Linked DNA regions of Diceros bicornis minor. The protein of the gene in region 1 interacts with the protein of each later gene in a biochemical or structural test. Links are inferred from orthologs where the notes say so. Each region holds a gene or a part of one and is shown on either strand. Other genes may lie near its edges.

What was found.
Region 2: the proteins of ACTA1 (region 1) and GC are reported together in a solved structure, tested with the Homo sapiens proteins (2 studies listed by BioGRID and IntAct). The link is inferred for Diceros bicornis minor from reciprocal best matches to the Homo sapiens genes ACTA1 and GC.
Region 3: the proteins of ACTA1 (region 1) and GSN are reported together in a solved structure, tested with the Homo sapiens proteins (3 studies listed by BioGRID and IntAct). The link is inferred for Diceros bicornis minor from reciprocal best matches to the Homo sapiens genes ACTA1 and GSN.

What each region holds. Positions count from the first base shown.
Region 1 is NC_080745.1:26,366,950-26,377,296, forward strand, and holds ACTA1 (actin, alpha skeletal muscle), read right to left. Parts: upstream 6,074-10,347; 5' UTR 5,977-6,073; intron 5,143-5,976; 5' UTR 5,131-5,142; coding exon 5,002-5,130; intron 4,896-5,001; coding exon 4,571-4,895; intron 4,314-4,570; coding exon 4,152-4,313; intron 4,059-4,151; coding exon 3,867-4,058; intron 3,740-3,866; coding exon 3,558-3,739; intron 3,474-3,557; coding exon 3,330-3,473; 3' UTR 3,077-3,329; downstream 1-3,076. UniProt on the Homo sapiens protein: Actins are highly conserved proteins that are involved in various types of cell motility and are ubiquitously expressed in all eukaryotic cells.
Region 2 is NC_080747.1:58,067,733-58,078,079, forward strand, and holds the start of GC (vitamin D-binding protein), read right to left. Parts: upstream 6,336-10,347; coding exon 6,278-6,335; intron 1-6,277. UniProt on the Homo sapiens protein: Involved in vitamin D transport and storage, scavenging of extracellular G-actin, enhancement of the chemotactic activity of C5 alpha for neutrophils in inflammation and macrophage activation.
Region 3 is NC_080767.1:28,448,318-28,458,664, reverse strand, and holds the start of GSN (gelsolin), read right to left. Parts: upstream 6,689-10,347; 5' UTR 6,674-6,688; coding exon 6,530-6,673; intron 4,442-6,529; coding exon 4,237-4,441; intron 3,537-4,236; coding exon 3,382-3,536; intron 1-3,381. UniProt on the Homo sapiens protein: Calcium-regulated, actin-modulating protein that binds to the plus (or barbed) ends of actin monomers or filaments, preventing monomer exchange (end-blocking or capping).

The DNA.
Region 1 (10,347 bases):
CAAAGAGGAAAGGAAGGCAGGCAGGCAGGTAGGCTGAACACACAAGTGCCCACATGGGCAGTGCCAGTCTGTGGCACGAGGTGATTTCCCCCTCTAGTCCTCAAGGCTGAGGCACTGCCAGGTGAGAGGCAGGGCTGCTCTGTGTCCCCAAGGCCAGCAGCGGGGCAGGCCTTCTTGAGCACAATGAGGGATGTATTTCCCCATAAGAACCAATATCTGGAACTCATCCAGCTTTGTCTGAAAACAATGCTGTGCAGGGGAGAGCCAGCCTCGTAAGGGCAAGGAGCTGATCAGGATGCAAAACAGCCATGATGTCTCCAGGCGATCAGACGATGGCTCACAGCCAGGGTGAGCCCTGCCTCCCTCAGAGCCAGCAGCTCCAACAGGATCTGTGGTAATCACAGTCAAGACCTAAGTGCCTGGTGATAGTGGGGTCGTGACAGCAAGCTCCTGAGGACAGGGCCATATCTTAGCCTTTTCTGTACCTCTTGCACATAGTAGATGTGCAATAAAATATTTCATTAACCTCTTGTGGCTTCTGTCCCATTTGGGGTGACAGGTCAGGGGACAGATGCACCTGGGAGGGACCTCGAAATTCCATGGTCTAATTCTAATTTCCAAAGCTTTAAATGATAGAGCCTAGGGTGTACCCCAGTCCCAGATTCTTTCATTTTCCCACTCAGCCCTAATCCCGCTTTTTAATCCCGGCACATTCTCTCTTCCCATCTTCTTCTTTGTCCCTTCTTTCTTCAACTGGAAACTAGTAATACAGATTTGGTGGGGAAAGAAAATTGGTGGTAATTTAACAACCGTCTGTGAGAAGGAAATAAGTGCATTTAGATCCCTGACAAGCTCTACTGCCAGCTCTAAGGAAACACACCACAAGCAATGGGTGGGGGAAATGTTTCGTTGTTTTCAATTCTCTCACTGCTCCAAAAATTGATTCTCTGAGATGGCTTTTCAGTGGAGAATCAGCCATGACATTATTCGCTCTAGTGCCAAGCACTCTGCAGCCACACAGGGGCTTCTTGCTTCTCGTTACTACACGCTCTCAGAGAGCTGCGAAAATAATTACCTCTCTCCTCACCCAGCACAAGCATTGGTACAGGTTTTAGACATATTTTTTAAAAGACTCATTCTTTACTACACCACACCAAAAATCCTCTCTCAGGACTAACATAGGTAACATACCTATAACCACAACCTAATAGGAAAGCAGGAAAGGTACAGAACACTAATAAAATGTGTGATGCTTGTTTCTTTTTAGAGAAGTGTCAGAAAAGGAAGGGAATTTTTAGTTTTGGCACATTTCCAGTGAAACCACACAATTCATAATTTTTGCACGTTTTCAGTAGAAGAATAGTGTCAAAGGTGGTGCAGGAGGAAATACTACCAGATTACACTGAAAACTTCTGTGAGTTCTAAATGATCATGAATCATTTACTGATTATGATCACAGGAGAACTGGGTCATTACCTCCTTACGGATCTAACTTACCTCCTTACAGCCCTAACTGTCGGGCTGACTGGGGCCCGACAGAGGGAGAGGGACGCCTCACCACTCACCAGAGGGCCAAGTTGGGCCACGACTGACCGGCTGGCCAGTGTTTGGGAACGGATCTGACCCAGAGGGGGAAACCGTGAGTAGGGGAAGATTTAACTAACAGTCTTGTCAGGAGCACACGCATTCGGAGTATTGAGAATTGAAATCCTAATGAAGTGTTTTGGGATTTTGGTTAAAAAATGTTTCCTATGACAGTTAGTTAACTCACGTTAATTCTGACATTTTTCCAGGCTGTGGGCTACTTGAATAATTCAGGCTGTGTGCATGTGTGTGCTGTGTTTGCTCAGATATGCATGTGTATGTTTATTATTATCAATAAAACCTGGATTCCTCTGAAAGACTAGAATTTAATCCACTTTTAATTGTTACCCACCCTGGATGGGGCAATAACCAATGGTTTTCAGTGGACATGATATCATATACTTGTTTTATTAAAACCTTAAATTCTACTGAATGGTTGATTCTGTTGATATGTGGATTTGGCAGTATTCCTACCTTGGAGGCCTCAAAGATTCCAGAAGCTTTTCAATAGGCCATAAAAGGAGAGACTAAACATACTGGTATGTGGCATATAACTGCTATTTGTTAATTCTCCTTGTAAACTTTGTTCTTGGAGTCAGAATCTATTTTATTTAGGAACTACTGCTCTTGGGATTCTTGACTAGGAAACAATAAGCTACTTAAAAAAAAAGATATTATGCTCCCCCGTAGAAACTCAAACTCTGTTAATACATTTGTGCCTTTAAAACTTGGGGGGGTGGCTCTTCCTTCTCCCTCGCTTCCTCCTCTCTTCCACTGCCGGTCTCAGCTCCCCTCCCTGCAGACGCTTCCTTGCCGGGCGCCCTCAGTGCCCGCCCCGCCCAGCGTGCGGCGTCCTTCTTTCTGGGGCGCTCGTCCGGCCCTCCCTCGCCCTCCTCCCACCTCTGGGCGCCGCTCCTCCCCAGCCGCATACTGGAAGGGGCGCTTCTTCATACCACCGTCACCTACCACGAAGCAAAGGACTTCCCAATTGGGAAGAGAAGTGATTGTCTTCACTTACAAATGAAAACCAGCTCATTAAATGCAGAACACAATGCTTTCGGTTAGATCTCGAGATTCAGGGGCGATCACCGATTCAGTGAGCAAACGCCCGCCGTGGGTGGAGCGGAAATGCGCTCTGCGGGCGGCGCTCGGCCCCAGCACCACGGTCAGCGCCCGCCGCTGCGCCGCGCCAGGGCCACCCGCCCGCAGCCGCCCCGGGGCCGGCTGCTGACTGGGGCCCGACAGAGGGAGAGGGACGCCTCACCGCTCACCAGAGGGCCAAGTCGGGCCACAACTGACGGGCCGGCCAGTGTTTGGGAATGGATCTGACCCAGAGTGGGAAACCGTGAGCAGGGGAAGATTTAACTAACGGTCTTGTCAGGAGCGCACGCATTAGGAGTATTGTGAAAAGTGACGTCAGAATATGGGGTCCCTCCTCCTCCCGTCCCCCCCACCCGCTCCCCACCCCCGGCAAGTAAACACAACAAACGACTTTGCGCAGCAAAACAGAATGGCAGAGTTTAATGCTTCAAGTTTTCCATTTCCTTCCACAGGGCTTTGTTTTAAAAATAACAAAGTGAGGTAAATAAGTTAATGTATGTACACGTTATAAACACTGTGTCGGGTTGCGGCGGCAGCAGCGACAGTTGTTGGAAAGTTGCTGCCCGGTGGCTCGAGGTCAGCCGCCTGCAACTTGAGCGGATTTTCGTCCTGAGGAGAATTCGCGCGCCGTTGTGGGGTGGGGTCTAGAAGCATTTGCGGTGGACGATGGAGGGGCCGGCCTCGTCGTACTCCTGCTTGGTGATCCACATCTGCTGGAAGGTGGACAGCGAGGCCAGGATGGAGCCGCCGATCCACACCGAGTACTTGCGCTCAGGCGGGGCGATGATCTGCAAGACAGTGCGGACAGCGCGTCAGGTGGGGGGCCGCACCCCTGAGCCACTCGCGGGCGCAGGGCGCGGGCCGCCGCCCACCTTGATCTTCATGGTGCTGGGGGCCAGCGCGGTGATCTCCTTCTGCATGCGGTCAGCAATCCCCGGGTACATGGTGGTGCCCCCCGACATGACGTTGTTGGCGTACAGGTCCTTCCTGATGTCGATGTCGCACTTCATGATGCTGTTGTAGGTGGTCTCATGGATGCCCGCCGACTCCATGCCTGGGGACCGCAGGGGGCAGCGTGAGCAGGCGGGCGCGGTGGCGGGGACGGGCCCCAGGGAACGGGCGGGCACAGGCGGGGACGGGCGCGGCCCGGGGGCTTGGGGAGGCCGGCGGGCGGGGCTCACCGATGAAGGAGGGCTGGAAGAGCGTCTCGGGGCAGCGGAAGCGCTCGTTGCCGATGGTGATGACCTGTCCATCAGGCAGCTCGTAGCTCTTCTCCAGGGAGGAGGAGGAGGCGGCCGTCGCCATCTCGTTCTCGAAGTCCAGGGCCACGTAGCACAGCTTCTCCTTGATGTCGCGCACGATCTCGCGCTCAGCTGCGGGGGGCAGAGGCGGGAGAGGAGCCCTCACTCAGGGCCCAGGGCCGCCCGCGCTGCCCGCCCGCCCAGGGTGCCCTGGCCGCCGCGCACCTGTGGTCACGAAGGAATAGCCACGCTCAGTGAGGATCTTCATCAGGTAGTCGGTGAGGTCGCGGCCGGCCAGGTCCAGGCGCATGATGGCGTGCGGCAGGGCGTAGCCCTCATAGATGGGCACGTTGTGGGTGACGCCGTCGCCGGAGTCCAGCACGATGCCTGCGCGGGGGGTAGGGAAGGGACGCGGCAGCAAGTGAGCGGCTCGGCCGGCTGGCGGCGCCGCGCGAGGCTGAGAGAGGCCTCCGGGCATCCCTTGACCCGGCGCGGGCCGCAGCAGACCGGCCCCGCCGGTGGGAGCGAGGCCCCCACTAGGTGCTGGCTGTGCGGGTGGGAAAGTGTTGGGTGCGGGCTTGGGGCGCGGCGTTGGGGGAGGGGCGCAGCCGCGGGCTGGGCTATGTGGCCCCGCGCGCACTCACCAGTGGTACGGCCGGAGGCGTAGAGGGACAGTACGGCCTGGATGGCCACGTACATGGCGGGCACGTTGAAGGTCTCAAACATGATCTGGGTCATCTTCTCGCGGTTGGCCTTGGGGTTGAGGGGAGCTTCGGTGAGCAGGGTGGGGTGCTCCTCGGGGGCCACGCGGAGCTCGTTGTAGAAGGTGTGGTGCCAGATCTTCTCCATGTCGTCCCAGTTGGTGATGATGCCGTGCTCAATGGGGTACTTCAGGGTCAGAATACCTCTCTTGCTCTGAGCCTCGTCGCCCACGTAGGAATCTTTCTGACCCATACCCACCATGACGCCCTGCGGAGTGGAGACACGATGCACACGTTACCGCTGCTCTGAGTTGCACGAGGCTGGGCTACGCGGGGACCCCAGACCGGCTCCCTCCGCTGAGAGGCAGCCTGACCTGGTGACGAGGGCGACCCACGATGGAGGGGAACACGGCCCTAGGGGCGTCGTCGCCGGCGAAGCCGGCTTTCACCAGGCCGGAGCCATTGTCGCACACGAGGGCGGTGGTTTCGTCTTCGTCACACATGGTGTCTGGTTTCTGCAAGGACAAGAAGGCCGCGGAGGCGCACGGCGAGTCAGCGCAGGAGGCCCCGCCGGCACGAGCGCCCTCTCTCCCCCGGGAAGTATGGACACCCTCAGCCCCTAGCCGTGCGCATCTGGCCAGGGGAGCCGCCAAAGAGACCCGGCCTGCGCTCAAGGCTGCGCTGCGCCAGGGAGGGGGGCGCAGGGTCGTGGAGACCACACTGATAATTTCTACACCCCGGGAACCCAGACGCACATTGTCCCTTGAGACCTCTCTGCCTTGCTGCAGGCCACCAGCTGCAAGAGCCAAATGCTAGCGCCCACCCTCTCTGCGCCTCGGTGGCCTCATCTGAGGGTTAAGGACAGCGATACCTGTTTGCTGGGTGAGTGTGAGGGTGGAAGAAGCTGCCCATGGGGAGGGCTCTGGCACCGCACCCAGGGAGGAATGGCCTATTCCAGACCCCCACGACATTCCATACTCACAACACACACCCTTTCTGCTGATGTTGAGCCCAGGGAGTAGCGGCCCTTGCTTCTATGTGGCTCTGGTGCTCAGTTGGGAGGGAATTGCCCTTGGGACGACTAAAGCAGAACATTTAATCTACCTGGCACATACTAAATGCCAGGTAGAGCAGCCCAAAGTGGCTGGGGATAAATTTGGAGATGTTTCCAAAGGCTGATCCTCTAGTGTCTCCTCTTTAAAGTGCGTGTGGCTCTGGGGACCGAGGCACAGCACGCAGGGTGCAGGTCTGGGGCTGATCAAGTGAGTCGGTTAGGCTCTACCCTGGAATTCTCCAGGCTCCCCTAGGTGGAGCCCTGTCCCCCTGTCCCCTCCCCACTCCCACTCTACCTGGGCGGGTGGCTACACCTGCTGCTTTCTGGCTCAGGCCCTGGTCGCCGCCGGAGGGAAGAGGTTTCTCTCGGCGCTGTCCGCTGCGGTGGCCGCTTGTCCCCACGCTCAGGTTTTATATAGCCCGCGGGCGCTCCCCCCGCGCCGCCCTGCAGGAATGTCGCTCCCCTTCTCGAGCCATATTTGGCTGTCGGGCACTAGAGCCCCCTCCCCTGGCCAGTTCGCCGCCTGGGCCCCCGCCCGAGTCCCCTGCGCTGACCAAAGAAGGAGCGGCCTGGCCCGGGCCCAGGTAACGCGGGCCGGGCCGTATATGGAGTGTGTCCCGGGCGGGTTGGCCCCTCCCGATCCTGCTCAGTTGCCCGCTGGAGGGGATGGGGTGGAGCAAGGGTCACCGCGTGCGCCTGTGGGTTCGTGTGTGCGCCTGCGCTCCCGGAGCTGCACCTGTCCGAAAGGCCTCTCCACCCGTGTCCGCTCTGCGCGCACTGGGCGCTCCGGCAGGCGCCTCCCACATTTCACTCCTTCTTCGAGTTTTTTACTCAGACCCCCAAACCCTCACCTGCGGCCATAGGGAGGAGGAAGCCGTGCCCAAGTGGTGGGCCTGAGAGGACAGGAGCAGCCACAGCCTGCGTCCCAGGCAGGGAAGGCGACCCTCCTCACCTCCCCAGTGAACTTCATTTCTCCCTGCCCACCCCTGAACTCCCCGTATCCGAGCGCTGACCAAGTCGGCCCCCACCTCCACCGAGGAGAGGGCCACCGGCGGCGGGAGGGCGCGCAGCTGTCGCGGGGCGGACAACTGGCGGCAGGAGGCAAGGGCGGAGTGGCCGGGAGGAGGAGAGGGTCTCCCGCACTGGCTCTGGCAGCGCCGGGCACAAAGCCAAGGCACTGGGAGCTGTCCGCCTGGGTGACGCGCAGCGCGCTCAGGGATTCATGGAGTGAATTTTGGGGGTGGTCTCTCGGACCCAGCCGTCCCAGATTGCCATGCGTCTAGCTGAGCACCTACCCCCACATCCTTGGTGGGGCTGAGTGTCTCTCTCCTGGGGCTGAAAGGCAAGGGTCACAACCCACGACCCAGAGGTGGAAACGGGTGGTGTTCTTACTGGATGAGGCCTTGCTCGTCCTTCCTCCCAACAAGGAGGACAAGGACATTGCTCTCTAAGATGAGGAGCAACTTTTCCTTCTGCAAAGGCTGCGCACACTCATCTTTATATTTAGAGGATGAGGCCTCGCCAAGGCCAGGCTGCTTCCCAGTCCACCTTGGAGTCACCACCTACCGGAGCCTGCTGAAGCGCTTCTATTTATACCACTGATAGATGGGGATATGCCTTTCAAATTTTCTAGAAGGATTTGGATCCACTTATGGTAAGGCAGAGTGGAGGTCAGAGGAGGTTATCCAGTTGGTGCCTGTCTCACTTTTTTTCTTTTCTGGGGGGACAAGTACAGCTCTAACCTTGCTGTAGAAGGCACGAGGAGAAACAATTTTCTGTGATGAACTCAGTGACGTGCTGTAACATGTCACATCACTGATGTGGTGCAAGCCAGAATGGAATCACTCATTTTTCTGATGTGCTTACATGTTCCCAAAATAGCTGCAATTCACATTTGGCCGTGGAAGTCAGCAACTGGGACAGGTGTGGGTTCTCTTGAGGGATGTAAGAGCATATGTAACCCTCCTCTGTAGCCCACATCATGGCACCTCTTCCTAAAAATGATGCACGTCAGCTAAAAAATAGGGAGTTTGGTTAGTATGAAGCCTATGTAGTGAGCACAGAGGGCCAGTTAAAAGCTACTGTGGTTTTGTTTTTAGCTTTTTCAATTATTTTAGAGAATGGGTGAATGAATGACAACTCCATTTCGTTTCTAATACCTTGTGTCCTCTGTGTCAGTGGGCAACGGAGACACTAGAAACAAGTCACTTGGCAAATGCACTATATGTACAATATAAGGGAAATTGCTTATATTTTGCCCTTGAAGGTAGGAAACATGCTATCATTCACTGAAGACTTAAGAATTTGTTGACATCTTAAAGGGGAATGGAGTTATGAATATTTTTCAAAACTCTTGCTCAGACCAACCCTTTTAAGCTCAGAATGTTAGAGTCAAATATACATTTGAAAGCTATGAACAAAACACTCACACACTAATGGAGACCTGCTAGTGCAGCAAACCTCAGGGAGATGGCCTCCAGACCTCTGCTCTCTGCCCACGGTCAGGGCTGCTTTAAATAGTCTCTGCTGGGTCACCACGGGGCCGGGCTCAGTCCCATTCTGGTCTTGTGAATTCTCATTGGCTTAGGGAACGAGCGGGTGGAAAAGCCCTCTCCATACATGTACACTTTTGGGGAGCACACCAGTGCCCTGCTCTCGCCTGAGTAAGTGGGTTACTGCCTGCATACCCTTTTGAGAACCATCACCGAGTAAAGGTCAGCCATGTAGGGCATCTCCACAGAGCTCCTGCTTCTAAGTTTTCAGGTGCAGCCTCAGGTCTTGATGCTCTGACAGGGCCCTCCTGCCTCAACTCAGCCAGCATGCTCACACCTCCCTTCTCTCCAGCCTTGTCCTCTCAACTCCTCATATGTCTGTGTATCCCAGTCTTGCTCAGTATTCTATCAGATTTCCTATGAATTTAAACATGAACTAGTAAAAACACTTTATATGCTTTCATGTTGTTCCCATTAATTTTTTTAACTATCCTGAGGTAAATAAGATAGGTACTATTAATTTCTGTTTTAAAAATAAGAAAACCAAGGCTCCCTGAACTGGACAACACATCCCAGATCCCAGAGCAGCCAGCAGGCGAGCAGAGGCTTGGGCAACCCTTTCCTTCCACTATAAGTGGGCAGGGCGGGGCAAGGACTGCTTTCTATCTTCCTTTAATCCTCCCCAACACTTGGAATGGTTCTGGAAACATAACAGATCCTCAAGGGATGTTTTCCAATGAAGGGCCAAAGGCATCCTGAAATGAAGTCATGGCTGCTTCTGCAACTATCATCTATAGTCTCAAAGAGAATAGTGAGTGGGGCTGGCTGGCAACACTCAGTCAGACACATTTCAGTGACCAGGTGGGTAAAGGAAGAAACCAAACTCCTTCTCACAAGCCACACATCTGAAAACGTCACATCAACCCATGGCAGTCAGGAAGACGGCTTAGATCTTCTGCTGGGGGTCTTCTCACTGGGGGACTTGCTCTGCCTTGGCCATCTCTCAGGGCCTGATGACTCTACTGGATCCGTCCTCTCTCCTCCCCCACTACCTTCTTACACCCGATATAATGAACTAGTGAAAAGCTTGCGCTTTGGAGTAAAGCATATCTGGCTATGCTGACCACTCTGACTGGCTATGTGACCTTGGGCAGGTCACTTCCAGAAAGACTCAGCATTCTCAACTGAGGATACCACCTACTCCTTATTCCAGAAAGACTCAGCATTCTCAACTGAGGATACCACCTACTCCTTAAGACTGATTTGAAGATTAAAACTAGGTAAATGCTTGAGACATAAGAAACACTCAATAAATGGTACAGTATCTTTCTTCTAAGTGTTTGGAGGAGGTGAGAGGGGTGAGGAGGTACGAGAGGTGAGCAGAGGATATTAAAAATTATTAAAACTGTTCACTAAACACATATCAACGTCATCATTAACTCAGCAGGAAGAGCCAATGTAATTTTAAATGTATTTGGAGTGCACAAAGATTTTTGTACAAAGATTTATTCTTGTATTATTTAAAATGGAAAAAACCCCAAAAAACCTAACCACCAAAACCATTAACTCAAGTGTTTTAAGTTTGTTAAAAAGAGTGAGACAGAGGCGGAAAGACAGAGAACTTTTAAATAAATTATGGTACAGCCATATGGTGAAGTGTCCTGCAGTCATTAAAAAATGGTATCTTAAAGAATACTGAACACATGCATTCTCAAAGAGAGGGAAAAATTGGCTCTTGATGGGGAGGGGGGTGAAAAAATCTTAGATATTACAATGATTTGTGGCCTCGAGAGACCATGGTCCATAAAAAGATACACAGCATTATCTGTGGTATTAAACTTCACAAGGGTCGGTGATGGGGGAGTGGAGTGATTAGGAAAAAACTGTCTAAAAAGTCTCCTTAGGAGGAGTAATAATGAAAAACTGGCTGAGAAACACTGGATTAAAGATACATAGAAATATTCACAATCTCACATCAAAATAAGTAGGTTACAAAATATAATAGTATGCACAGTCCAAAACATTCTAAGATATATTTCAAAATGGTAACTGAAGTTATTTCTGGCTGGTGGGATTACAGGGGTTTATTTTCTTCCATATACGTTTTTTAAAAGTACGTTTCACATTTTCTACAGTATTTTTTTTTTTGAGGAAGATTGGGCCTGAGCTAACAT
Region 2 (10,347 bases), on another chromosome or scaffold:
AAATAATGCGGTAAGGCACGATGCAAAAGAAAACTCTAAAGCCACCAATACTTAAGGAACTGAAATCTGATAGTAAAGCTAAGTATACAAGGCCAATAGCAATCATTGCCATAGAAGAGATTGAAGCAAAGCATTGCAAAACTTTAGAATGGAAGAGGGCTTTTAGAAAGCCTCATGAAAGGAGCAACTACTCGAAGGGGACCATGAATGATAGGGAGGATTTTAACAAGAGTGAATAAATTGTGGGAGAGAAATTTTAAGTGGTAAGGAGAACATAAAGACATACCTGAATTTAGCAAGTCACAAGTCATATCTGGAGAATAATGAGTCGTCCAGTAAGGAAACTGAAGTACGGGATGTAAACACAGAAGGACTTGATAGCCAAAGTTTTACTTCTTGTTTTTTAAGGTAATGGTGTATCTATTGAAATATATTCTTGTAGGGGAATGATCAGCTCATAGCTGTATTCAAGGAAGAGTAATCTGGGATTTAAGATAAATAGTACCTTCTTCATAAGGCTGTTCTATGAAATATGTTAATCTATATGAAAATGCTTAGCATATTTCCTGCCTAACATGTGGTAAACACTCAGTGAGTGTTAGCAACTCTTTTTATAGTAAAATCTGGTGATAATGTACATTATCAGACATTATATACCCTTGTGATATGGATGTCATGTGACTTACTCCAGTCCTTATCTGAGGTGGTAGACTAAATTTCTGGTCAGAGGAAAATGGAAGAGAAGGTGAAAATAGAAAACTCCCAGGAAGCAGGGAAATGGGGATCTGGCCAATCAAATGGTGGTCAATCAACAGTGAGATGTCTTGACTCAATGCTCCTTTCCTTCTGGAAGTCCCAGCTTGTCACAAGACCCAGAAATCTGTATTGAATTTCTATCGATATTGTAACAAATTACCACAAATTTGGTGGCTTAACCAACAGGAATTTACTACCTGAGAGTTCTAATGTGTAGTCTGACATAGATCTCCCTGGGCTAAAATCAAGGTGTTGGCAGGGCTGTGTTCTTCCTGGAGGCTCTAGGCGAGAATCCATTTCCTTGCCTATTCCAGCTTCAAGAGGTGGCCTACATTTCTTGACTCCAGGTCCCCTTCCTCCATCTTCAAAGCCAGCAACTTTGCATCTCTCTAAGCCTTTTTTCCTTAGTCACATCTTCCTCTGACTGACTCTCTTCTGCTTCCCTCTTCTACTGTAAAGCCCTTTGTGATTACATTGGCCCCCCCCAGATAATCCGACATTATCTTTCTTTTTTAAAGTCAACTGATTAGCAAACTTTATTCCCTCTGCAACCTTAATTCCCCTTTGTGAGGTAACCTAACCTATTCACATTTCTGGGCATTAGGATGTGGACATTTGGGGAGGGTCCTCATTCTGCCTACCATATGCTCATTACTATTTAAGCCTGAGGTCATACCCATCATCAGGTGACTCCAAACAGAGACCAGAATTGGAGTGGATTTGTATCAGACGGCCTTATGCCTGGAATCCTACAATCTAGCTGCACATGCTCAACCCCATCATTTCATTAATCTCTCAATAGTGATCTTGATTTTTATGTAATTCATTTTTGGACTCCACTTACCGCATTATGTCAGAGTTTGTATTTTAATATGAATTGATTGGGGAAGGGCTGGAAGGTAGGGATTTGGTAAGGAAGCCATTACAATAGGCAGGTAAAGCGGAACAAGGGCCCAGACAAAGACAGTGTATGGAAATGGAAACAGAAAAGATATGAAAGCTAGTGTTCACAGGCCTTGGGAACTAGATACATGCAGGAGGTAAAGGAGAGAGAGAAAGGGGATACTGAGGAGGTTTCTGCAGTAGAATGCTCTGTACAAGGCTGAAACTTATAGAATATGGAAATGATTGAATATAGGTAACAAAAATGAATAAAATAAAATCCAAGAAGTCTCTACAGGATTGAAAATAAATGATTCAGAAGTGATGGTGCCAGGAAAATAAACAGGGAAGTTAGAAGACAGAACCAGTTTCATGGAATAGGGATGAACTGGACTTTGGATCAGTTATGGATGACCATAGTAGGCAGCATGAATTTCACTTAATTCTGCCTAAATTGGTGTTATAGTGACTGGCTCTCTCTCTTATACTCATTCTCGTATTAGTGAAAGATCGTAGGTCAGGTATCTCTCTCATGAGAGGCCACAAAGCAGTGATTGCGAGCATTGTCATTATAAACCCAATGAATTTATGTAAAATTCTGATTCTTCCACTTACTAGCTCAGTTACCTTGGATAAGTTACTGAACCCCTCTTTCTCTCAGTTTTCCTCATTTGTAAAATTGGGATAATAGTACCGAGTTCATCATGGTGTTGTAAGGATGAAATAAATTTATCCAAAAGATTTTAAGCAAGCTGGCACATTATAAATAAAATATTAGCTATTTTATTCAGTGCATAAAATCTAGTGCTAATGCTTCACGGTGGAAACTTAATATATAATTACAACAAAAATAGCAAAAGACTTACAGAGTTTACTCCTTTCAGGATATCTATTATGCGTCCTAGTTGGCATTTAATTTTCCTTAAATACTTGAACTACCTTATGAGGTAGGTATAATAATCCTAATTTTGTGATTTTACACAGATCTATCTAACACTTAACTATATGGCAAGTAGTATTCTAAAAGGAACTACAGCAAGAAACAAATATATAGTCCTCAATTTCATGGAGCTTACATTCTACATTTTACATTTGTTGTAATAAACCATAGCTGGTGATAAGGTGAGGAGTGCTAAAAAGAAAAAAATACAGAATAAAGGGATAGAGAAAAGTGGAGTTGTAGGTGCTCTTTGAGGTCAGGTGGTCAGGAAAGCATTCTCTATGCATGAACTTGGAGCAGACACATGAAGTAGGTGAGGAAGAGAGCATGTGGATATAGGGGGATCAGTGTTCTAAGAGGAGGGAGGAGCTAGTGCAAACCCTCGAGGTGCAGAGTACATAGTGCGGGAGTGTGTGGCTGAAGCAGAGTGAACTGGGGGAAAGTAGGAGAGACAAGGGGAGCACTGGGCAGAATAAAGAAGTTAAGTGACCATAGATATCTGGGGAGAAGGTAATTAATTCCTTTTAAGGATTTCTTCTTCTCCTTCCTATATAGATTAATCTCATGGCCTTTTAAAGCGTGTATACTTATCCTTACACCACACGTGTGATAGTGAGTACATACCTGTCATTGCACCTTACAACAGGGAAGGGTGACATTGTTACTGATTTCCAGGGAGGTTAACATTGCTTTTGATGATGAGGTTATCTGCCTCTCTGACTGCAGCTCTTCCTCCTTTCCCTTCTCGACGAAGCCTCTGTTATGCTTTTAGTCTGGCTGCTTTGGGAACTTGGATCAGGCCATGCTTGTTCCCAGCTCAGGACTTGTGCACCTGAGTTCCTTCAGGTGGAAACACACTTCTAGGTCTTTACATAGCTGTCTTCTTTTCACTATAGATCTCAAATCCCATGTCACCTCCTCAATAACCATTACGTAGGTTTTGCAGAGAGGATATAAAGACATATCTGGGAAAATAGAGAGGATGTCTATTTATCCTAAATTATTTCTCTCTGGCATTTCTGTACAACTATGTTCCTGAATCAAACTTAGGACACCTCTTATTTATTTATTTATTTTTTAACATGGCTACTGATGAAGGGGCAACTAGTAGAAAAGAGAAGAAGTGATTCAGTGGTGGTTTGGGAGATGGGGTAACCCACATTGTCTAGGGCTATTTTGACAGGCAAGTGGGAGAAGGAAAAATACAGCTCACCCACCAATCCAAAGGAGATTTACTTTCTTCTTGGTGTTTGAGATCATGTTTAATAAAAATATATGTGCTTAGAATCAAATGCTTAAAGCAAAAAGGAAAATGTTTATAATAAATATCCTGTTCTTGCCAACATCCCTTGTAAACTGCAGTGGTTTATTTCCTATAGCATTACTTCCTTGGTAATTGTGTAGCTGTGTCAGCAGCCTTCTTGTATGTTTCTTGAGAAGAGGCAAAGATGCATTTTAGATGAGTGCCATATCCATTTCAGTCCTGAGGAAAGAAGCCAAGTGGAGGCAATTGGCAAACACAGCCTTTCGGCCTCTCATGGGGTAGCTAAAGGTAAGGTGTTCTCTTCCAAGATGTACCCAAGGGCTTATGAACTGAACCCCCAGTGCCATTTGAAAGGAGAGGATGGCTTGACTAGAGCGGATGTTTATGTTGAGCTGCAGCAGTATCCATTTTAGACCTGAGGTTTTCCAAAGAATACTTTCATGGGATATAGCTATTGTAGGAAAGAGCCTATATGTTTGGGAGACTCTAGGTTAAGTAAAGTTTCCTTCTTGTATGACTTTTCACGACCTTTAGGACAACAAAAGGCATTGATTGTGAACCAACCAAGAAGGACTAATATATGGCTTAATTCTTAAATGTGTTTGGCCACAGAAACTTTTTTCCAAGATGAGTCTTGAGTGAAATACACTTTGGAAAGGTGTCCTAGATAAATTCTGTGGGTGGTTGTTCAGCCCTCTAGAACTATAATGGGCAGAGAGAACTGCAACCCAAACCAATCCCCCACCATCCAAGGCTCCTCTTAACTTCTTTAATCTGTACACTTTGTAACCTCCTGCCAGGAGATAGCACACCTAGCTTCCAGGTAAATCGCAGCCTTCGTATTTGGGTCATGCTCAGGTATTAGAGAACAGAGGATGGGTCAGGACTACTGTGCCCAAGTATTGAACATTTATTACTTACAAACGTACATTATGTCTCAGGGTATATCTCTATGGCACCTGTGTAATTTGTTCATTGCGAAGTTCAGACCTTCAAGGGAGCTGACTTGAGGCTTTTAGCATCCATTTCATCAGAGTCTGAGAGAATGCTGAAGGACGTTGAAATAGAGGTTGCAGAATACTGTTATTCTCCAAAGGACACTGTAATTCTTTGAAGTGAAGCCAATTTACACTTACTAAGCCAGCAGTCCAAAATGGTGACTCGTGTCCCACATTATGGCGTCCACATATAATTCCAAGAACTAGCTATGACTGGACCTTCTGTGTTGTGACCATCGTGATTTGAACCTGTTTCAGTAAAATTTTTCAGATTCAGATCTGCCCCAGGGAAACCTTGGGTGATGGAGTAAACGTTCAGTGTTTCTTGGGACTTGACCTATTGAGAGGGCTTGTAAGGGACATAATTTATTTTACTTATTTATACCCTAATGTATCTCAGACTTTGTAGTATTACATTAAGATCCATAGCTTACTTAAGGATCTATGGGTGAATAAGACAAAATTTAAAATAATTGGAATAGCAAAAGTAAGATCAAGGAAAAGTGAATGTAAAAAGAATAAGAAAGTCAGGAGTCTTCATGCCATGGTTAATAACTGATAATTTCTGGGATCCACATGTTTTATTCCACTGGTTAAATATATTATGAATATGAATACTAATGGATGACTTGGGTGAGGCTGTTAACTGACAGCACTACATGAAAATTAATTTTTCAAAGCAGGATGAATGCAGATTCCCTTATAAGCATTAAAGAATTAGCCAGAAAAGTAAATTGAAACTGACTATGAATTTTGCAACTCGAGAACTTTCCATAAAGTCGTATACTTCATAGAATTTCAGCTTGTGCCATTGAAAAAGGTTTTTAAACCTTGCTCAGAGATAAAGACACCATTTGAAGAATAATTTTAATGAAAAACATAGCTCAATTATCTTAATAGTCATCTTTTATAACTATTAAATTCTTATTTTATGTGGGATATTTTAGAAACTACAGTGCATTTTCGAACATTGCATACAGGATTCCTTGAAGAAGATCAACGAAATCTCTCAGTTGACTCCATGCATCATTGATGTGGTGTATTATGCTCTCAACGGCAATAAATATTTGAAGTCTGAAAAAAATGCTCAGTGATGGCTCACAGCCTCCATTTGCATGATATTTTAACAATTACAAAATGTCTGACTTCAAACCATTCTCTCCATATCTTGGTTATCAAAAAAGCAGGGAAGGATAATTGACAAATTATATAATTTCTTTCTTTCCTGAGATCTTATCTTGATTTTTTTTTTTTAGCTATTCCAGTTGAACACTATATGGCATATTAGAACTCAGATTAATCTCTCTTTGCTTCCCTCTCTCCCCAACATATTCACCAATTCTTCTGTTTTTCACCTTTTTGTATAACTTTTAAAATGGTAACAGAAAATTAGACTAGTAAGAGTTCTTGTAAATGGTCACACCATAGAAGTCTTACCTCTCTCTAGAGTATGCACAAATGCTACAGCAAGCAGGACAGCCAGGATCTTCTTCATTTTCCTTTGGCAAGTCCTTCAGCACCCCCCGTCTCCTGGAGGTTACCCGGTAAAAAATGGCAGCCAAAAGTAACCAATTTCCTTTTACCAAGATTCCCGACTACAGACTAATCAATTATTAATCTTTACGCTGAAGCTAGGGTAATCATCCTAGGCCCACAAGAGATAAAATAATGTCAATCAAAGCAAATAGACACCCTGGGGAAAACATAGTGGAAAATCTAGGCGATTTTAATCATTAACTGAGTCAAACTGCACAAGAGTCAGGGTACACATAGATGTTTTTTCCATACTGCTTTTTACTGAAACTTATTTAATGTATTAGTGGGCACATCCGCCCCACCCCCTTTATAGGGTTATGTCTCTGGACGTTCTCTACCCTTCTCATGTATAAATGGACAACTTAGAGATTCTCTCTCTCTCTTCGTTTAAACCTACTACAAGTAAGGGTTACCTTAGAATATTGCAGACTAGATGTTTTTAAGTCATAAGGGGGAGAAAAAGAAGTGAGAAGCCAACTTATTACAATTGCTCAAATCCATAATTTCAATGCTATAAAATAATTTTATTGAAGATGATGGGATAGTACTTTATGTTTGTGCCATGTTGTACTTTTTGAAACACTGACATATGTATTAAAAATAACTCTTTTAGTAAGGCAAATAGTAACAGAGGAGGTTAAGTGACTTGTCCCAAATCATGAAAGTTGGTGGTAAATCTTGAGCTCACTCAAAGTTCTTTCTACTAATACCGTACAACTGGTATATTTTAGAATAATATAACCTGAGAGCTCACAGTGGCCTTGCAGAACGCGGAATCTAACATCTTCATTTTACAGAAGAGAGAGCTAAGCCCCAGATAGATTCTGTGACTTGCCCAGAGAGGCACAGGTAGTCACATTCATTCCATCATTGGAATTGGCTCAGCTCCTGATTCTTGCAGTAGCTCTCTTTTCAGGAAACGGGGTCAGGTAAGGGTTGGGTACACAGGCTCTGGAATCAAATCCCCACTCAGCTCTTATTGGTTGTGTAATCTCGGGAAATTTTGTCTTTCTAAGCCTTGTGTCTCTCATATGCAAAGTGGTGGTAACTCTTAGTACCTTTGCTGTGAGTTTAAGATAATCCATGTGCTTGGTTTACCGTAACATCAAACACGTGGTAACATGCATTAATGTTAGCTATTACTCTTATTCTAGTTATTGCCACTTTCTCCACTAGCTCACCAAATTTATGATATCTGAGAAGGTCTTTTGAACTAATGAGGCCTGGAACTCAGTGGAAAATTTTAAAGCCAGCCCTCTGTCTTGGGTTAGTGGAAAATTTTAAAGCCAGCCCTGTATCTTGGGTTTAGTACCATAACAGGTAAGTGATCTAGAATTCCAATATCCATTTAGTTGCTAAGGACTAACTGCATGGGAAGATTCCATCAAAGTCTCAAACCACACTAGGCAGTTACATTTTTAGTCAGATCCTCCATCTATATTAAAAATAGTTGGGTGTTAGGTTCAGAAAATAGAGTCCCGTTAGTTGGAAGAAGATAACTAAGCAAGATCAAAGCAGAGATATCTCTGTAAGGCCAATGGAAATCCACATGGTAAAGGAGAGTAGAAGATACTGTAAACATTGCTAGAGGCAGTATGGGAAGACAGTCTTGCTGTTCAAGGACCAACCAAATGCTGTTCAAAGATCAACTTCCTGCCTACTACAGATTTTCTAAACCTTTTCTTTGGCTAAACTCTTAATTTACTTTGCGAGTTAATTAAAAAATGTGTTTTAGTGTTACTGTAAATTATTTGAAAATAAAGAAACTCTAAACGAGTGCCAAAGAGTTTAAAAATAACTGAGAAATCCAGAACTCAGAGAATAACTGTTAACACATTATAGTTTCCATTTTTAAGGTAATACAACATGTGCACTTTTGTATAGTTTGTTTAACAGTGCTTCAGTCATCTTCTGATCAGTTCATTTAAGATACACTTGTTTCCCATTAATTTTGCTACAGAGTTTAAGATTAGCCTGTTCTTTCACTTTTTAAAAACATAACTTTATCTCTGCTTTTGCAACAACATCTGCCACTTTTGTTTAATGATAAACCACATGTAGCAAGAATTGCAACATCTCGTTTAGGTGTGCTCTTGAGAAATCTCTACACAAGCTGCCAAGTGCATTCTCTTGGCTGAGTTTATCTTTTTCTAACTGAAAACTGGCACTCACATGCTAGTAGCTGAATATATGAACCTTTTCTCAGTCTTATTTGTGTAACTCTCCTTAATCTTTCAAATGTTGATTGCTTACAACGATTTTAAAACTGGGAAGAAATAATCATAATTGGCTTAAATATGAAGTCTCGTGTTGCAATGACTATTCCAGTGAGTCAGATGGGGGAAAAGGATGAAAAAGGACAAGTCAAATCTTCTGACACTCTCTGTTACAGCAACTCAGGAATTTATTACAGAAATAGATTTGTAAAAAGAATTATTCATTAAATACTCAAGTGGTGTAATTTTACAGGAGTTGTGTTGCCTGTGAAGAATTGATTTGAAGTAGTCTCCCTCCTCTTTCTCTATTTCACCATTGACTTCAGAAGAAATGTAGGGTTTCCCCTAAACAAGGCTAGTTCTAGGCAAAATTGTGAGACAGACAGAACTCATCTTTAGTTCTTTCCCTATCACATTCTCTTTTTTTGGTAACTCTTAGATCTTACACTCTTTACCAAAGCAGTATCTTTAAGATTTTTGTGCTGCTGCAGGCTGCTTAGAAACTCTTCCATTATAGTATTCCAGTAGAAATGACCTTCTTCCAGTGATTTTGTGACTGAACCAAAAGTGGGTTCGCCTCTTGGCCAGTTAAAATCAGACTCTTGACCAGAAGTAGTTATCACACAAAGTAGAAATTTTTGCAGCAAATAGGAGACCACAAGGAAGCATTTCTAAAGTTGTGGTTGTCCCTGAGGGAGCTGGGGACAGCAGGGGCCTCTTATTTCAGATGGGGATTGAATATTCAAAAGGGAATGGTGGGTATTAGCTTATGCAGCCTCAGTTGGAAAACATGCTTCCCCATACACTAAAGGTTATGATAGTAAGGCCTAAGCTCCTCCCAGAGAGGAGATCTTGGCATTAAAAATGAGGCAAAGGTCATAGGCGTTGCTCTTGTGGTGAGGCTTGGTCTGGTTCAGGGTGGTTGGTGATTGCATCTCTTAACATAACAAAAAGAAAGAAAGCAATTTGGAGAAACAGTTAAATGCTTCTGAAATCTCCGTTGAGTTCCTTGGGACAATTAGTTGGTGGCAATTTCATTTTCCAGAGTGTTATTTTCATTCAAATTCTCTTTATACTGTTAAAGTGCATTATCAATATCTTTCCCCGATAAATGACCTGATGAAATGAATGTTAGTAGCTTAAAGTAATATCCTTGAAGTTGAGGTAAAGAGCAGAAACAGAGGATAATCTAGATTGCAGGGTACTCTCATACCCCAACCATTCCCTGTTCTTGATTCCCATGAGAAATTCCAAATCCTAATAATAAATCTTCCCTTTTTTTTTGTGAGGAAGATCAGCCCTGAGCTAATATCCATGCCAATCCTCCTCTTTTTGCTGAGGACGACTGGCCCTGAGCTAACATCTGTGCCGATCCTCCTCCACTTTATGTGGGATGCTGCAACAGCATGGCCTGACAAGCAGTGCGTCGGTGTGCGCCCTGGATCCGAACCCAGGCCACCAGCAGCAGAGTGGGCACACTTAACCGCTATGCCACTGGGCCAGCCCTAAATCTCCCTTTTTACTTAAGCTTATTAGAGCTGCATTTCTGTTATTTGCAATTACAGTAGTCCTCCCTTATCTGTGGTTTTTCTTTCTGTGGTTTCAGTTACTCGTGGTCAACTGCAGCAAGAAAATATTAAATGAAAAATTCCAGAAATAATTCACAAGCTTTAAATTGTGCACCATTCTGAGTACTGTGGGGAAATCTTGTACCATCCTGCCTGGGACATGAATCATCCCTTTGTTCAGCGTATC
Region 3 (10,347 bases), on another chromosome or scaffold:
TCCGGCATGTCTGTGGGCAGCCCCAACCCAGGACTTCATTCCGCTGAAGGCAAAGAGACAGTGGATCCGAAAAGCTTTTCCAAAAGGTGCTGGAAGACACAGTGACTGTTTCCATGGTTTCCTCAGAGACGAGGAAATGGGTGGAGAGATGGGGAGAGAGAAAGACCCTTCACTTTTTTTTTAATATGTCTCTAAACTATTTTACTTGTTCAAGCATGCCTTTTATTTGTTACTAAAAAGTAGAAACAATTTTTTAAAGGAAAAGGGTCGTTTTATGTCATAAATCTTGGTTCTGATAAATTCTCTGTATATAAATTTATAAAATACTTGATTTCTAATGATTGTGGATGTGCATTTCCTGATTGATTAACTCCTCTAATCTTACCAATCTAGGAAATTAGACTTGGCAAGATAAGTTAACAAAAAAAGAAAAACAAGCCTTTAGAAGACGTTAATGGATCTATAAGCACAGCGGGCAGGAATTTTTTGAAATTCTTACTATTTTTACTATAATATTTAAGATTGATTGTTGCTTTCTATGGTCTAATCACTAGGTGGGCAGAGATTGGCATCAAATTATTTGAACAAAATTGCATAGGATAAATTGTTTTAAAAGCCACTTTCCAAATTAAAGTGATGAGATATATATATACATATCATATATATAGATAGTTCTATTTCAGTATACGAATATACATATCTATATGTTCATATCTAGAAAGAAAAATCATCCATCATTTGGTATATACCTCCAAGAGTAGAATCATGGGAGACTTTTACTCTCTAAAATCTGTATTTCTATAATGTTTGACATTTTACAATAAGCTTGTATTACTCTTGTAGTCAGAAGATGGAAAAAAAGCTACAAGGATTTACATTTTAAAAAATGTTAAATTGTTTATAAAACAAAGAAAAACATACTGATTGGGGCTGGTCCCCTCCACCCTCTAAACTCAGTGTTCCTTAGCTAAGAAAAGGAAGTGATTCTGTAGGTTTCCCATTGTGTTCCTCGGGCCAGGGGCTACTAGGACTCAGCCCAGCCCGGATTCTGTTTGAACAAAGGGTTTCAAATAACCAGGCCCCACAGGGTCTTAGGGTTCTATGTGAGAGTGGAGGAGAAGGAGGGGAGGAAGGATGAGGAGAAGGAGATGGAGGAGAAAGGTTCTGAAAAGTGCAGTGACTTTTCAGGAAATCCTTAGGACAAGCGTTGCAGAACAAGACAGGTCAGGCCCTGTGACAGCCCTTTCCAGTGGCTCCCATCCCCTCCCTGCCCCTTCTCACACCCCGAGGACAGAACTGGCTCCAAGGAGCAGGCTTTCACAGAAACAAGTCTTGCGTAACAAACTCTGCTCCTTGGGGATGTATAATTGATGAGGGCGCCAGGCCAAGAACCTTGGGCTGGGCCTGCCAAGTGCGGGGGCAGCCGGAGGACTTGCAGAAGGTGGAAAACAGGGCCGGCCTTGGACCTCACATTTCCACCAGGAGCCAGGGCCTGTCCGGACTCAAGTCTCAAATCCAGGCCGGGTTGGAAACCAACCCCCTGGAGCATGCTTCAAAGTGTGGTCCAAAAACATCCTGGAAAAATCATCACAGGGTAGGGCAGGCTTGCTAAACATGCAGATTCCTAGGCCCCATCTGGGCGAAGATCAGAGACCAGGGAGTCTTGCAATGTCCACTCTGAACCAGCAGTGTTAGGCCCTTCACACCGGGGTTTGAATCCCAGCTCCGTCATCTACCCGCTGTGTAACTGCTTCACCTGTCCACAAGAGAGGTTGCTGCTGTCCACACAGCAGCGACAATAACAGGCCTTGTTCCTACAGGGGCTCCATAAATGTCTGCTGAATGAATAGCGAATGGGGAATACGTGAGAGCCCACACCCAGAAGACACGACTGGCCCGGGGCCTCACAGCTGTCAGGGGCGGGGGGAGCCTTGAGACCTGAACCTCAATCTCTCTGACTCCTGGTCAAGTGTTCTTTCCACTTCCTGCTCCAGGAGCTGCAAAAAGGTCTGGTCCTTCTCCAGGTGAGGGGCTTGGGTCCCAACCTTCTCACCTCTCCCTCTTCAAAGTACCAAGGCCCCGGAAGAGGCTGTAGGAAGAATGTAGAGCTGGACAGCTCAGCAGGGGGAGCTCCGGGCCCTGGGGGGAACTGGCAGGCAGGGGGCACTGTGCAGGCTCCAGGGAATCCGGCCCAGCTCCGCCCGGCCCAGGGCTGAGGCCCTGTTCCCACGACACACCCTGCCCTTTGCTATCTCAGTCTCGCTAGTGCTTTCCCATTGTCTAATCCCCTGTGCCTCACCTGGGCAGAGTCACTATCCTGTTGACGCAGAGAACCCTGAGGCCCCCAGTGAGGGGTGATGACTTCTCTAAGGACACACAGCACATCAGCGGCACAGAGGGGAGTTGACCCCTACCATAGAACCTGCTCCTGAGAGGCAAGTTGGTGTAGTGGAAAGAAAGCTGAGAGTCAGATCTGTGTTCTGGTCCTGGCTCTGGGACTGACTTCTGTGTGATGCTGGGCCAGCTGCTTAACCTCTCTGTGCCTCAGTTTCCCCTCCATCCCTTAAAATAAGAGATTTGGACTCTGACATTGAGGCCCATCTGGCTATCAAAGCTTATGATCCCCTCCCTATCCTGACCAAAGAGAATCCTAGCTTTGCAAAACTACAACTTTCCCCGAGCTCCTCCAAGGTGCCAAGTCCTGTGCAAGGCATTTCCCAGCTACCCCTTCACCAAATCCTCTCCCCAGGCCTGAAGGGCAGGTACAACTGGCTCTCATTAACCAGAGAGGAGGGAGGCTCAGGGAGGCCAAGTGGCTTGCCAGAAGTCACACAGGATATTAGGGCACAGCCTCTCCGGGCTCCTAGCTTAGCTTTGCTCAGCCCCAACCGGCTGCGGGCTGAGGGGAGAGCTCTGTGTCGGCTCAGACTCTTTAGAGTTCAAGTTCAAGGGGGATTCTAATGAACGGAAAGAGGAATGTGATCAAGGGTGCCTTTTCAAATACCTAACACGGGCCCTGTGTTGGCAGGGCCTAAGAACTAAGGGGGGAGGAACAGGGCTAGCTCAAGCCCCGGGCAAGCAAGGGGCTGGGTTTCCACCCACGGCCCACTCCTTGCTGCTGGGGCTAGGATGACAACCCAGCGAAGTGATGGAGAATTTTCTTCTCTCCATTTTAAGATAAGCAACCAGAGGCTCAGAGAGGGAGTGTGATTTGTCCAAGGTCACACAGCTAGGAAGGGTCCAGGATTCAAACCCAGATCCAGCCAACTCCAGAGGCTGAGCTCTGAGCTGTGTGCCCACATCACCCCACAAGGCTGAAAGATGGGTGGACCTGAGTGAGCCCTGCCATTGGTGCCTTTGTCCCCACCGTCCAGGACCCACCTTGTACTTGAGGCCAGACTTGAAGTAGCCGAGGAAGGTGGCCGACTCGAAGCCCTGGACCTCGCGGTGCTGTACAGCCCGACCGTTCAGGTAGTCATCCAGCTGCACGGTGAAGATGGCCGCCGCCCCACTCTCGTCCTGGCTGCACTCATTGCCTATAGGGGACGTCAGAGCAGCATGAGCCTGGCTTCCTGAAAGTGGTCCCAGCCTCCCACGGAGGAGGAGTCCAGAGCCCCCAGCACTGCCCTGGCCTGGCGGTGGAAGCCAGGCAAGCCCCTGCCTTCCATAAACCTCAGCCAATCTGTATAACGGGGGAGCTGGGGAGCTGGACTCCACGGTCTCCAAGAGTCCTCCAGCTCTGACTCATCCCCCACACTCACTCTCAGCCTGGGAGCACAGGCTCTATTCACAGATTAGGAAACTGAGGCACAGTGAGGGGGCATGACTTACAGAGTCACACAGCAGACCCGTGGCAAGGATTCCAGGCTCCTGACTCTGAATGGGAAACTGGGGTGTGTCTGGAGCTGGGTCAGGGAAGCTATGGGGGAGTCTAGGGTCCCCAAGTCACCTCCAGTTCTGAGGGCCATAGTAATGGGCTTAACCTTCACGACACTCCTGTGAGGGAGGTGGCGCTATCACCATGTCCACTTCACAGAGGCACTGAGTGACTTGCCAAAGGGCAGAGCTGGGTCTGAACTCGGGCAGGCTGGCTCTAGAGTCTGGGGACACGTAACCGCTAGCCAACGGCCTGGCGCGTACTTGATGCTCAATAGTCAGCGCCCATGGGTGCTTCCTGGGAACCACGCCTCAGAGGTCCGTGCTTTCCGGGGGAGGGCGCTGGGCGGGGCGGCTCACCCAGCCAGTAGTGCAGGTCGTACTGCAGGTTCCCATTCCTCAGCTGCACCGTCTTCAGGATGACATAGGCGTCGCCTGTGAAGAAGTCTCCGTAAAGGTTGGGGGGCACGGGCACCAGGTCGAACTTCTCCACACGCCAGATCTGCAGGCCGGGCTCCTTCCCTGCCTTGAGGAACTCGGGGTGTTCCACCACCATGCTGCTGGGCTGGAAGAGACAGGGCAGAGCCTGAGCGGGGCAGGAGCCTTGGCGGAGAGACCCCGGGGCACGAGGGAGGGGGGTTTCCAGCACCAAGAGCATCTCACTTGAGCCTCTGACTCTCCCCACCCCCTAGGTGAGTCTCCCCACTTCTATGACCCCTGTCTCCATGAGTGAGCAAACAGGGCAGAGTGTAGGCTAAAACCCTGTCCCCAGCCAGCGTCTGTCTCTCCTACTCAGCTCCCGGTGATGGAGGGACAGAGAGCTCTACCTCCCTTCTCCTTTCCCTTCTTAGTACCAATTGGATAGTACAGCTATGGCACAGAGAGCTGAAGTGACTCTGCCAAGGACCCCTGCTAGGAAACGGCATAGGAGGAATTGCCCCAGGCTCTAAGAGCCTGAGATCTGGGACCATAGGGAGACCCCCTCAGATGGAAATGGTAAGTTGGGGTCCCCAAGGGCTCAGCGTATTCCCTTCCAGCATCCTCAGTGGCTCTTAGAACTAGAAGGGTCCTCAGAAATCTCATTATCCAAACCCATTCTGCAGATAGGGAAATTGAGGCCCAGAGAGGGGAGGAAACTAACCCAAGGTCACACAGCTTGTTTGCTTTTGTTCTTGGAAGTGGGACGATATCTCATGCCCCATCCATGTCCCCATCACACCCCCCAGAAGGGCCTAGATGACTAAGCCCAAGTGGCCTCCTGCGCTGTCTGCCTCCTCCCTCCTGCCCCCCAACACCCCACCCCCAAATTCCATTTCTTGGAAAAGGCGGAGAGGACACAGCCAGGGTCTGCAGGAGCCTGTTGGAGATGAGGTGGCCAAGGATGGGGAAAGGCCTTCAGACATGCACTCGGGCTAGAGGGCTAGAGACGGAGCAGAGTGGGATGGTTAGCCTGGAGCCAGAGGGCAGAAATCAGCAGGCGCAGGTCACCTCGGGCCGGAGGACAAATCTGGTGGGAGAAGTCAGAGAAACCAGATGGGAAGAAGAATTCAGGCAGAGGGTGGAGAAAACAAAAGGGAAGCAGGAGAGAGGAGGAGAAACCAGACAGGGCAGAGGAGATATTGTTACCGCACAAAATTGAGGTTCTCTTGCCCAATGTGCATTAAAAAACCCAATTAATTATGGCAACAGCTTTTGGGGGAGAAATCAGCTTTATTCTGCAAGATCGATCTGCAGGGAGATGAGGAGTGTGCCCTCGGATCTGTATGTCCCATTCAGGATTTGGGGTTACATTTAAGAGGTTACGGAGAACAGGCTGGCAGGTGGAAACGATAGCAGGATAGGTTTTGATTGGTGGGCTTCAAGCCTTTATGACAGGGTTCTAAACATTTATGATGAGGTGGGGAAGGAATTTTAACACCAGATCTTCCTGAATGAGGGACCCCCGGCTTCTGATAAGAGGCCCACTTTTTAATCCTAGTCATGTCCCGGTCCTTGGGTTCTGGAGGAGCATCTTTGGTTCTGTGGTTATTTCAGGTCACAATTTCTTCTTCTGCACATGCTCTGGCTACCAGACTTTGCAAATTTTCTGAAAGGCAATTACTCTGTTGATAAGATAACTAATCACTCTGTTGACACGAGAGGGGGTCAGTTGAACCGGTCCTGGAGGGCAGGCGGTTACAATATCAGAGAGGGGAGAGTCAATAATAGTTGTGAAGATAAGCAGGCAGAGGGGAGATCATAAAAGAAAGAGGCAGAAAATATTGGAGACTGAGAGAGAAATCAGATGAGAAAGGAATCTGAAATGGAAGAAGAGATCAGAAGAGGGAAGGAGAGACATCAGGCAGAGGGAAGGAGAAATGAGACAAGGAAAAGGAGAAATCAGGCGGCAGGGATGGGTAAGAAATCAGAGGCAGCGACGAGGGAAAAGAAATCCGGCCAAGGTAAGGTTAGCCTCCAGGGAGGGAAACAGCCAGGGCCCCGAGGCTCCCACCCCCATCCACGGGAGCCCCGGAAGCAGCAAGAGATACTTACAAAGCAACAAAACAGTTTTTCCATTCTAGACCTGAATTACTCCCCTTTTCCTAGTGCTGTATCTGCAAGAACTTACAATAGAGAGTTACTCCGGGAGCCCCCGGGCCCCCCGGGCACTCACCCGCGTCGGGGACGCCCGTCCCTGGGGCGCCCGTGCCTGGGCCGCCCTCCGCGACGCGGTGGCCGCGCGGGCCGGCGGCGACAGCGCGCACAGCGCCAGGACCAGCGCGCCGAGCAGCGCGGGCGCGGAGCGGTGCGGAGCCATGGCGGCGACGGCGGCAGAAGACCCGGTCGGCACCCCCTGCCTCCGGGTCGCCGGCCTTAAGTAGCCGCCCGACCATCCCGCCCAAGCTGGGGACCGCCCCGCAGGGAGGGCGTGGGACAGGGCTGGGCCCCCGCGGGCCTCGGAGGGGCGGGGATCTGGCTTGGATTTTGGAGACATCGGGGTTCCCACCCGGGCCGACCCGACTGGGCGCGCCCACTCCTTCACTCCAGCTCTGGGGCGGAGACCAAGCACACGGCCTGGCATACAGCAGGCCCTAACTCAGTGCACACTAAATGGGCGCACGCACGAAAGGCGGGGGGCCCAACTCAGCCTCCTGTGTGACCCACGCAAGTCCCCTCCCCTCTCCGCACTAACACCTCCAGCAAAAAATAACAGGAATTAACATTTATTGAAGACTTGAACACATCATATGAAAGCTGACACATCCTAACATCCTTTACAGAGTACTATGGACAGCCCCATTTTACAGAGGGGAAAACTGAGTGCAGAATGATCAAGCAAGGTGCACACAACAAGGAAATGGTACAGCCAAGATTTGAACCCAGGGGGTCTGAGTGGAACGCCCACCTAGGTAGCATGCGGCTGCCAGCCACTAGGGCAGCAGTGCAAGGGGCTTCCCTTCACTGGGCCGGTCAACAAGAGAGACTCAGAGAGGGGCGGGCAGACCTCTCAACTTCCATCATTGCCCTCAAGACTGCCCTTCTTTCCTTCTTTTTAAAAAACTTTTATTTTTATCAAAACTTAAAGTCACGGATTTGTACAAAGGTGTTCTTTCTCAACCCCACTCACGTCTCCCCAGGGGCAGGCACATCCATCTTCCTCCTTTAGCTGATGATTCCAGGGTTTACCTTCATGTCTTAAATAACAAGCCCTCCTTTGCTTCTTGTAGTTGTTGTTTTGGGGTTTTTTTTTTTTTTTTTCCAGTTTTACATCTTATCTATTGGCTCCCCTTGGAGAAGGCAAGGATTTAAGTCTCTTCCCCCACTCCCAGGCTCCTTTCCCATCACTGGGTTAGGAGAAGTGCTATTCAAACTCACCTAGGTCCACTTCCCACCTCCACCAACCCGTCTCTCCTCCCTCCCACCACTCTGCTGGACCCAACTTCTTTATTTCCAGGTTCTCTTTGCATCTCGGATCTCCCCCTCCCCAACAACTGGTGCAACGACAGGAAAGAGAACCAGGGAGTTGGAGGCCTGGGTTTGATTCCCGCCTCCACTGTGTGTAAGTTACTTTCTTTTTCTATGCCTCAGTCTTCTCATATACTAAATGGGTATATAGTTGCTGAGGATTAAATCAGTCTGCGTGTGTGAAAATGGCCTGGCCTGCAACTAGGTAAATGGAAGATCCCGTCCCCCTTCCCCACAAGCTATAGTTACCTGTCCCAGCTCTTCCTGGAGCCCAGCTTCTATCTAATCAGGGTGAAATTTGCCCTCCACCAATGCAACTTCCTCCCACTTAAGGGGGATTGTGGGTCAGATAAAGGGCTAAGGGAACACAGAGAGGAGACTCTGTCCCTTGAAGGACAGGGAGGAAGAAGACTGAGAAGAAAAGGCATTCTGGGGGGCAGGGGGGCGAGGGAACGGCATGGGCAAAGGGCAAGCAAAAGCAGTGAATAATGAGAGGTCCAGTCTGAAACACAGGCAGCGAGAGGCGATGAGGCTGGAGAGGGTGGCAGGAGTCACAGGAGCCCGTGCACCACCCTGAAGAGTCTGAACTTTATCCCAGCGTCTGTGGGGAGCCACATAGAGATGCCCAAGTTCTCAGTGCTATAAGTCTAGGCCTGGGCCTGCAGAGCCTGCAGTGGGCCGGCTCTGGCCTAAATTCAGAGGGCTCTTGCCTCTCCCTAGGCATGTGGAGGATTATAAAAACCCCACAGTTCTCATGTGCTCTTGATGGAAGCATAAACCGGTTTCACCTCTCCGGATGGCAATTTGACTATCCAAATTTGAAACACACAATGCAGCAACAGTTCCGCGTCCTTCAGTATTACTTACAGAGGAACACAAAAATAATATGTGCAAGGATGTTCACTGAAGCACTGTTTGAAGAAAACTGGAAAGGACTCAATTGTCCTGATTAAATAAATCATGGAGCTGCCGTACAATGGACCACTCTGCAGCTGTGAAAAAGGAATGGGCTAGATTTACTGTGCCGGGCACATAGTAGGCACTCCACGAGCATGGAGAGATCCCCAAGTGCAAAAAGCAAATTCTACAACGACTACAGTGTGGCTCCTCTCCTCTCGTTTATAAGAGTGTCTGTTTTTGCATAGATCCTTAAAGAGTCCAGCAGGGTAAATGACAAACTGTCAAGGCGGTTTGCTTGAAAGGGGTGAAGGGGGAGACATTCACTCTTAAACATTGCCGTGGCTGCCTGAGGCTGGAGTTAAGCGCCCAGATTACTGCAGTCTGCACAAGGGAACATTTTAGGGGATGAAAACATTCTAACACTAGATTATGGTGATGATTACACAGCTGAAAAATCTACTGAAAATCACAGTACTGTATGTTTACAATGGGTGAATTGTTATGGTATGTAAATTATACCTCAATATACTTGCATAACAATTTTAAAAACTTGCTGTAGGGTTTGAAACTATTTACATGTATGTATCCAACGTAGTTGTTATTTATTTATTTTTTTAGTTAATCCCTGATCTAGGAATAATACCCTTAAAAAATACACTTAAAGTGATGCCTGCTCATTAGACAAATGGGAAAATCCAAACAAGTCAGAAGAAAATTTCCGTGTCATCCCAACCCCCCAGAGTGAACCTCAGTCGGCAGCTGGCCCAGCCTGGCAGTCCCTCCTGGAGCAGTGTGGCCCTGACCACACAGTTGGTGATTAACAGAGGGTTGTGTGGTTTGGCCTTGGCCTCAGGGGTCATGGACCACCAGCCCTGGGTCAGTGGCCCCCAGGTTAATGATCACAAAGGCCCTACTGCTTTGCCGGCCACTAGTTCTGGAGCCTGGTCCTCGGCACTGGAGAGCTGGTGAACACGCCCTGCCCCTGTCCTGGGGGAGCCCACAGCCCGGAAACTCTCGCTATAGTGCAGTGATATGCGGAGACTGCAATGGGGGCAACATGGTCTTATGCTGCTCCCTGCCTGGAAGAGAATGTATGAGTTCGGGACAGCAGGGGACTTGGGTGCAAAAGAAAGACCCCTAGGTAGAAAGGAAGAGGCCCCAGTGCTAGGCCTGCCTCTGCCACTGACTTCCTGGGTGACTGTCCCTGTCCGGGCCTCAGAGTCTCCATACGCGAAAGACGGGGTAGGCCCCAATGCTCTGATTTGAGGTCTCATTCCTAGCCCCAGCATCCCCAGATACTGGCTGTGCAACCATATCCAGGACCTACATGTGTCTGAACCTCAGGGTTCCCATCTGTAAAATAGGGGCACTGGACCAGGTCACCTCTACAGGTCCTTCTGAATCAGACAGTCCAGAGCCCCTGACTTGCAGAAGGAGGCACCGCCATCACCAATGGCAGCATGCCACCCCGCTTCTGGATCCAGACATCTCTGGGAGAAGGGAGGGAAGAAAGAGGGATCTAATACTGAGTCTCCTCACAGCAACCAGGGGAAATAAGCACTAAAGTTCCCATTTTACAGACAGGGAAACTGAGACTCAGGGAGTTTCAGTCACTTGCTGAGGTTG